Solanum lycopersicum: one gene and its partner. Each later gene encodes a partner of the first gene's protein in a complex. Links are inferred from orthologs where the notes say so. Each region holds a gene or a part of one and is shown in the gene's direction. Other genes may lie near its edges.

Region 1 (4,299 bases):
GAAATAGATATTTGTATTTATACATATAATCATTTTTGGAACTTATAAATTGGCTGGTTGCACTTTTAAAACATTACAGATTATAACTATCTGTTATATTGTATTGTTCATTTAAATGTATGATTGTCTTCGTTTCTTTATACTGCTGATATATGTACTACTCGTAAAAATGCATACAACGAACCCAATATAATAAGTTACTTATGCATTATAGTTATGATAGATATATTTTCAAGATTAATTAACTATTCTATCAAGGGTATAATAGATAAAATGAAAAAGGGCTTAAAATAACCCTTAAAGTATTGGAAATCCATTTATTGGTTCCAAAATATCTTCTCGCCCATTTATTGGATTTAAAATACCCATGTCATTTACATTTTGGTTTAAAATTGACAATTTATGTAATGATTTTATATTTAAATTATTTAAATATTTTTTTTAAATACATGATGTTCAACTATTTGTTATAATTTAACTTATTAGTATAATTTATAAAACAACAGAAAAGCTACAACCAATGAAAAGCTACAACCAATTGAGTGTTTTTAGAATTTTGAGGTGAAAATATCTATAGTACTAAATTATCATATATTTAAGTGTCTAAATAAAAATTTACCGATAAAAAGTCTGACTATGTTCATCTTAATTATTCTTACGTCTCAATTATGTGATGTTACTTCATCGGTAACTTTTTTCTCAAAATAATATATTAAATGTTTTAAAACAAATCATAAATATTTATAAAATTATATTTTAAAAAAGTGCATGAATTATTTCGGGATGTATTACTTCTTTATTTTTAATCATAAATTTCTAATTCAATCTTGAAAGAGAATCGTATTGAAAGTCTCATCCTAAATAAGTGGCTCAACCTAAATTTAATTGGGGCTTAAATTCGGACTCGAATAATTTCGGATGTTATTTTTCAGAAATCTATATTTTCATCGTGTTTTAGTAGTGTTTATGAAGATTTTGATATTATAATTGGATTATTAGTTGGGTGGGGTTTAGTTAGCAATGAATGGGTAGTGTGTTGATTTATAAATTAAATTATAACCAATAATTGAACGTCAAGGATCTTAAAAAATATTTAAAGAGTTTAATTTTAAAACAATTAAATAAGTGGTCAATTTTGAACAAAAAAGTGTATAGGTATGAGAAGAGCATTTTGGAGCCAATAGGTAAATGAAGGGTAATTTTGTACCATTTTCAATACTTCAATGGTATTTTAGGCCATTTTTCGTAGATAAAATATGATAAGTTATGTATAAATTTTATAAAATGACAACTATTGTTGTTCAGCTATTTATAGAAAGAAATGACGTATAAAATGAGACGGAGGGAATAATATTTTGATAAAATTAAAAAGTGTTACTTATTATATGACAAAATAATAATAAAGTGTTACTTATTATATGACAAATAATAAATAAACGTAGAAGTTAAAATTTATAAAATTCATGATTTTAACTTGTAATTGGAACTGCTTTTAGCCGTAAGGAAAAAAAAAAGGTTTAAGAAAATCAAAGCCTGCAGATAAACCTCTATATAAAAAAAATTAACAAAACCCCAAAGCCCCATTCGGTTTTTCCGACGACCAAGACCGGCGACAATTCAGTTTTTCCGACGAGCAAGAGAGCCGAAACCGAAGCATTATCTTCGTATTCTCTAAGCTTCTCAATGCATCTAACCACTACTCCTCCTCCTCAACAGCTGAATTCAATACAATTATCTTCAAAACCCCTTTTACTCACATTGCCATTCAAATGCAGAAGGAAGTTTTCCCGTATAAGAAGACCTACCATTGTAGCTTCTTCTTCCAATACTAATAACAGTCCTGAAGGGTTTTCTTGGCTGCAACTTTCACAGTCCATTCGCCGTGGTTCCGAACGTTTCTTGAATCAATTGGAAGACTCTGTGAAGCAAGAGACGGGTTTTGATTTTAAGGATGTTAAAGTTAAAGTTGGGGAATTTTCAGGTCGAGCTGTTGATTCAGCCAAGAATGGCCAAGTTTTGCTGCAACGTTTTCAGTCTGAGTTGTTTCCTGAGTTCTTGAATTGGAACAAATTCGAGTCCTGGAAGGTGAATTTTCCCATTTCTTATTTGAGTTATTTGTATAACTTTGTGCTCACATTATCCTTTTTCCCCTTCCCCCAGGACGTCAAGAAATGGGATTCCAAAAGAGTTGGTGTATTCATTCTCTATATTATAGTTACGGTATGTTCTTGTCAAAAAATATATATGGCAATTCGAGCTCCTATTATTAATAGGGAAAGAAAAGAACTTACTGAGGCATACATGGAAGCATTGATTCCTGAACCTACTCCTGTTAATGTCAAAAGGTAAAACACAAATCAAACTGCTAACTGTTTTTATTTTTATTTTATGAATACTTGATACTCGGAGATTGATATGATGTCATTTTTTGATCAGTTTGAGGTGCATCTTGAATTGTCTACCTTTTCTTTTGATGATAAAGGTTTTTATTAATAAAAAACGAATAAAAAACTAAACCAGTTCCAAGGAAGTATTTGAGAAACATAAGATAGGAAACAGATTATGGCTGCAATGTCTTTGGAAATTCTTAAGTCACTTCGTAAGCATCCTTTAGTTTACCTAAAAAACTTGTAGGAATACTTATACCTATGAATGGTTTCAGCTTTTCTTTCAATACACCTACCATTTCATTTTTACATAACATCCACATGATACAAGCCGGGATAGTGTCTCGAATCTCCTTTGCTCCTTTCAGAGTCCTTACAGAAACAATCATGACCCCACTAATCCCCAGTGCACTGTACTTCCGACCTTTTCCAAAGTTTTTATATCTTGTGATGGATTGGGGGAATTTAAGAGGAGCAGTCTTTTCATATGACAAGACTTTTCCAAAGCACGTCCCATGATGGAGACAAATGATTCTCTGATATTTTAAGGATTTGATCAGACTCTTACTTGACCATTGAACTTTTCTTAGCTGGGGTAAAAGCTCAATATTTCTAGATTTTAGTTTGATCTGCACCATTATCCTAAAATCAAATCAATGCAGTTTTATGAGTAGGAGGAAACATTTACCCATGCCACCTTATGCAAGTATGTCTTGTTGCTTGATCCAATTAGTGATCTAAGATGTTTTGTAATCTCTCAACTCCTTTCTTGGACATGTATTCTTATAGATTCAAGAAAGGTTTGTGGAGGAAGACGACCCCCAAAGGTCTAAAGTTAAAGAAGTTCATTGAAGCAGCAGATGGAACTCTTATTCATGACAGTTCCTATGTTGGTGAAGATGCTTGGGCAGATGATTCTGGCAGTCATAATATGAAAGAGGTGATAGACCATGATAGTAGATTGAGAGTAGAGGATAAAGAGACTCTGAAAGAGAATCTTGGAATTTCAGGTGAGTTTTGTTATTAACCTTGCATTATTTTTAAGTACGTAACGATCCTCCTCCATCATTTTTCCTTCATTCTAAAAAAAAAAAAGACGCATGAGAATTTTATAGTAGTATCTTATCATCTTCGAATTTATTTTTATTTTAAAATGAATAAGCTGCACTCTGCAAGCTCATTTTTTATATTTTCTTGCTCCCCCTAGTAATGGTAAAACTTTTGAACGGGTGGACTTCTCCCCTTTTTTGGTTTGGGTGAAGGGGAGGGAGGATGTATATTTACCAGTATTCTAAAAGGTGAGTGAAATTGGTCGCTGTCCCATGTTTTTTCATAAGCAGGTTGAAAAGTTACTGCAAAGTCATGATACAAGTAGATGTGATGCCGTGTATCAGTTTGAGGGCATTTTGTTTTTCTGGTTTTCTAATAGCAGCTGGACAAAAGAACGCTCTTTGTTGTCACCGTTTAAGAAAACACGAGTTAGAAATTTTAAACTTCTATATATTAAATATGAAAACTATATTAAAAGTTAAAATTTTATTATATAGACTATCACATAAATAATTCAATAAGTTTACACTAACAAAATAATTTCATATATTATGTTAATGATAAGTTCCTTTCTGCTGCCTATTCCACTTTTATAGTTCTTGCATCCACTGGATGCTTTGTTATTAATAGTTTATTACAACTCTTACTTCATAAAAAAAATGATATATTACGTTAATTTTTTAAAAATGAATTTTGTTAAAAGTAAAAAATTAACAATTTTTTTACATAATTTACTTGCATCCACTGCAAAAAAATGAATTTTGTTAAATTATGTAAAAGAAAATCATTTTAAGTTGCCAAGTGAATCCAAATTATGTTAGTAGTCTATTTAAGCATTTCTTATCCTTTTTCTTTTTGCAGC
Region 2 (4,514 bases), on another chromosome or scaffold:
TAGTAGCATCACTCAACAACACAATCCAAAAAAAAAAGAACACTACCAGACAGCAAGCCAGAAACACAGTTTTTTCCTACTGGTGCTGAGAAGATAGACTGATAGATACACTGCTTGCTGGTCGCCGGCGATCTCTTCTCCGGTGAGTATTGCTGCTCCGGTGAGAGGCAATTGTTGGCTTATTGGCTGCTGCTGAGCGCGCGAAAAGAAGTGAGAACAGAAAAGTGAATCAGATGAGTTCTTCTCTCAATACAAATAGGGCTTGGGCTAAACTTAAATCTCTTTAATAAATATATTATAATAAAAAAAATATTTATTATTTATAGTCATAATATATTTTTATGTCCATATTTTCTTTTTTAAATTTCTATTTACTTGTCCATTTTGACAAGTCAAGAAAGAATAAAAAAATTAAAATAAAATATTTTAAATTATCTTATAATTAAAGTTAAAATTATAAATTTATACATTTTAATTCTTAAAATTACAGTTTATAGAAGGGTAAAATTATAACTTCACCATATTAATTATTGTTATTTTAATATGTGGGTCTTTTTCTAAAGTGGACAGCTAAATAGGAAGAGAGGGAGTATTTTTTTTTCATTAGATCAGTTTTAATTCATTTATAATAAAAGTTTAATACATATTACAAAGAACAATTTATTATTTACATATAATATAAATTTTAATGATGGATAATACATTTATCACACGTTTTAATACATTTATAAAACCATGTCTCAAATTTTTATCAAACAAGCATAATATATTTCAAAAACAATTATAATTCATATATATTGCATACATAATTCACTTTTAATTCATATTGCATATTTAACATAATGTTACTATAAATAGTAATAAGTAAAAAGTATTGTTAAAACCAGTAATTATTTATTAAAATACACCAATTTATATATTTTCCCAATCTTCTTAAATGGGTTGAGTTTCAAAATTAAAAATGTTTTGGGTCAAAATATGTAATTAAATGTAATATAAATATTATTTTTAAATATATTTAATAAACAATTTGACTATTCGTTGCATCGAAGAATATTGATCCTCACATTGAATATCGAATCGAAGAATTGAATTTTCGATTAATTAAAGAATCGAAAAATAAATTAATTCACTCGAATTTCTAGAATCTTTGATATTTATGCTTTCTTATAGTTTATGCAATATTTGGTCTTATGTATAACCTTATTATAAAATAAATGTTAGTTACATTAATTTAAGATATGAGTTTATTACGTATCGATTGACTCATGTTGTTAATCATAAATATTTTTAAATTCTGTAGTATTAAAGTTATTCATCGATCAAGTAATTCATCTTAAAAATTAAAATAAAAATTGCAAAATATTTTGAAGTGAGAACTATTTTTATTAAAACTTTATAGTGAAATTGTATTCATAAAAATGTTCCATATGAAACTATATATAAATATTTCTACCTCATATTTTTTCAAAAAGTTATTTTCATCGCTTAATAATACAATAAATTCTTCGAAGTTCGAAACTCTTTGTCAGTGAAAGCAACAGATTTGCCGTCGCACTAGGCAACTCTCATATGTGATTCGCGAATGATTTATGAGCTATTGCATAAAAATAGAATTTTTTACACTATACGAAATTCAAAAATAGCTATTGCGGATTTCCGTTTTCATTTTAAAAAAAAATTAGTAGAAAATAAAAAATGGTACTCCCAAATCCTATCCCTACACAACTGAGCTTGAAATACGCCTATCTCCCTCTTTATCCTTTTTTCCATCTTCTTCTTCTTCTTCAACTAGTTGAATGTTTGAGCAATGTCTCGAGGCACTGATCGCTTACTGAAGAATTTGAAGCAATTCACTGACCTTCAATACAAGTACTTCAGTAGCCGCTATGGACAGCAACTCATTGACATTTTCGAATTTCCAATAAAGCTTGTTCTTTCACCTATTACACTTGCATATGACATTGCCGGCTCTGCTCCGAGAGGTTTCGGTGTACCTGAATTCATCTCTAAGCTCTCTTATTCGACCATCTTTGTAAGTTCACCGCACTTTCTTGTATGTAATTGGGGAAGTGTTACTTTCTGTTTTTTTTTTTTTTTACTTAATGGTCGTTAAGTGTTTGTTTATATGTCACTGAGAGGATGTGAATGGGATAGTATGTTTGATAGAATTTCTGAACTGGGTGTTTAAATTTATGTTTGTGTTTCACTGAAAAGGCCTTGAACGGGGAAGGTAGTTTTCAGTGTTTTATGAACTGGATTCGTTAAGTGTTTGTTTATATGTTACTGAGAGACCAGGAATGTGACAGTCTATTTGTTAGTATTTTTGAATTGGGTCTTCAAATGTATGTTCACGTGTCACTGAAAAGGCTTCGAATGGGGGATCGGTTTGCCGGTGTTTTATGAATATGAGTGTAAATGTCACTGTAAGCTCACCGGACTTTATTGTCCATTGCTGGAGAAGCATAATTGTCTGCATCTCTTCCTGGATTTGGTCTTTGTTCATATGTCACTAAGAGACCATGAATGGGACAGTCTAGTTGTTAAATTTCTGAATTGGGTCTTCCAATATATGTTCATGTTTCACTGAAAGGCCTTGAATGGGGGAACCAATGGTCAGTGTCTTATGAACTGGGCTTTAATTTAGTTGTTCATAAATCACTGGAAGCTCACCACACTTTCTCGTCCATAACTTGAGAAGCATTGTTGTCTGCATTTCTTCCTGATTTGGGTCTTTATATGTTTGTTCATATGTCACTGAGAGACCATGAATGGAACAGTCTAGTTGTTAGAATTTCTGAACTGGGTATTCAATATATGTTCATGTTTCACTGGAATGCCTCGACTGTGTCTTTGAATGTTTGTTCATATATCACTAGGATCCCATGAATAGGAAGTTTTTTTCAGCATTCCCTGGATTGAGTCTTCAAGTAATATGTAAGAGAGGTGATGACCGGAGATTAATACAACGACTTTTAGGCTGAAAGTATTTGTTCAGTGAAGGTTTCTCCTAACAGAGATATTTGGTGTTTTACTGCAGGTGGTAGCTACTCTGGGTACTTATGACATTGCAATGGAGCTCGGAAAGAAGGTGATCAGCCAGAGGTGCCCTTATAGTCTTAGCTCATGTTTACTTTTGTTAGAATTTATATTCCTGAAGTTGAAGTGTCTTATATTAGAAATAATGAAATTGATAAATGGTCCATGTCAAAAGTTTTGTTTTTTTGCTGATATGCACATCGTGTGTAAAAGGGCATCGAAGATTAAAGGTATCAGGCAACTCCATCCATTACCTTAAGGAATAGGTTTGAATGCTCACATTCTTTCATAGGTTTGGTTTTTCAATCCATATTTTACTTTAAATGGACTATGAGCTCGATAGATATCAGATATTTGTCTTATAGATATCAGATATTTGTCTTCTGTGCTCATTGGTGGTCTCGATGTCCTTATGCACAAGCTGATGTGGTAATCACAAATTGAAGTTAAAGTGAGAGAGCATCTTATTTGTGCTTACTGAAGGGAAGCTGAAATGCTTGTCAAATTTATAGTCAACTGGCATGTCTTGATATGTAAGGTGATGACATGTGTAATTGAAAGAAGATGCTTGGTTCATTGACTGCAGGGACTGCCGGACATGCTGTGGGTGGCAGGCGTTGCAGTGCACAATGTGCAAAGGATCAGGCAAAGTGCATTACCAAGTGAAGAACTACACATTGAAAAGGTAGGTAATCATTGATAAACTTGTACTCTTGCTGTTAAAATGAACATCCTGTTCACATTTTATGTATTAATCCAATTTCTAGAACAACATTATGGTTTTTGTCATATTCTGAACTGCATACTCTTAAAAGATATACTGAAGTGCTTTCACCTTCTTCTTCTCCCACGTCCCATGTGACTGTTAAAACACATTCTAGTCTTCAGGTTTCTTAATTCAGATTCGGCAATCAAAGTGGCTCGTGTAATTGCTGTTGGTAGCTCAAAACATCACCATCATCATGTTGGTGTACTGAGCCACCTTCTTCTTGTTTTATGTTATTAATCATCATAGTTCTGAAAAATCATAAATTATTCTAGGGACATGAAGATAATGTCAAACACACTGAATATTTATGTCTATTTAAAGCTTCCAAATTACTGATACAGGGGAGAAAAAGCCACAGCTGAATCCATTGCTGATGCGATAGCTGATAACAGAGCTGAGTTGGTGCATCTTCCTTCCACAGTGGACCTTCACTTGCCACTGCCATCTAAAGAATGTCCCAGTTGTGATGGATCGGTGAGAACTGTTTTGGCAATTTTTTCAAATTTCATAATATAGCTTCTTAAGGGCTGAAAATAAACTGAGTGAGTCATGCCAGTAGTTCTTTTGGCTTGAGAAACCATCCAAAATGCCAAGGTAAAGATATAGAGTTTCATTTGTTATGGAAAGCCAAGTTGAGAATAGGGCTTATTGAATAAGTAAAGCCAAGCCTAACCAGAAATCAACTTGGCTCATGTTATTTATGTGG

What was found.
Region 2: the proteins of ATP-dependent zinc metalloprotease FTSH 12, chloroplastic (region 1) and uncharacterized protein are in contact, whole or in part, in a cryo-EM structure (PDB 8XKU), measured with the Arabidopsis thaliana proteins. The link is inferred for Solanum lycopersicum from reciprocal best matches to the Arabidopsis thaliana genes FTSH12 and emb2737. Residues at the interface, in NP_565212.1 of Arabidopsis thaliana: Lys126, Asn127, Pro131, Ile134, Asn137, Lys138, Trp139, Trp142, Leu156, Ala160, Phe161, Leu163, Leu164, Cys167, Gln168, Tyr171, Met323, Glu327, Leu330, Val334, Ile335, Glu381, Asp382, Leu383, Leu404, Pro406, Tyr407, Phe409, Glu410, Cys413; in NP_001032071.1 of Arabidopsis thaliana: Thr82, Ile85, Ala86, Leu89, Lys92, Ser160, Ala161, Pro162, Leu163, Pro164, Ser165, Lys166, Ile195, Met196, Glu197, Pro198, Pro199, Ala202, Val205, Leu206, Met209, Tyr211, Pro212, His215, Ser224, Ile225, Phe228, Thr232, Leu233, Ile236.

The regions. Positions count from the first base shown.
Region 1 is NC_090801.1:59,801,504-59,805,802, forward strand, and holds the start of ATP-dependent zinc metalloprotease FTSH 12, chloroplastic, read left to right. Parts: upstream 1-1,482; 5' UTR 1,483-1,683; coding exon 1,684-2,085; intron 2,086-2,160; coding exon 2,161-2,345; intron 2,346-3,176; coding exon 3,177-3,397; intron 3,398-4,298; coding exon 4,299-4,299. UniProt on the Arabidopsis thaliana protein: Probable ATP-dependent zinc metallopeptidase.
Region 2 is NC_090811.1:5,240,170-5,244,683, forward strand, and holds the start of uncharacterized protein, read left to right. Parts: upstream 1-1,705; 5' UTR 1,706-1,810; coding exon 1,811-2,035; intron 2,036-3,040; coding exon 3,041-3,105; intron 3,106-3,625; coding exon 3,626-3,724; intron 3,725-4,149; coding exon 4,150-4,282; intron 4,283-4,514.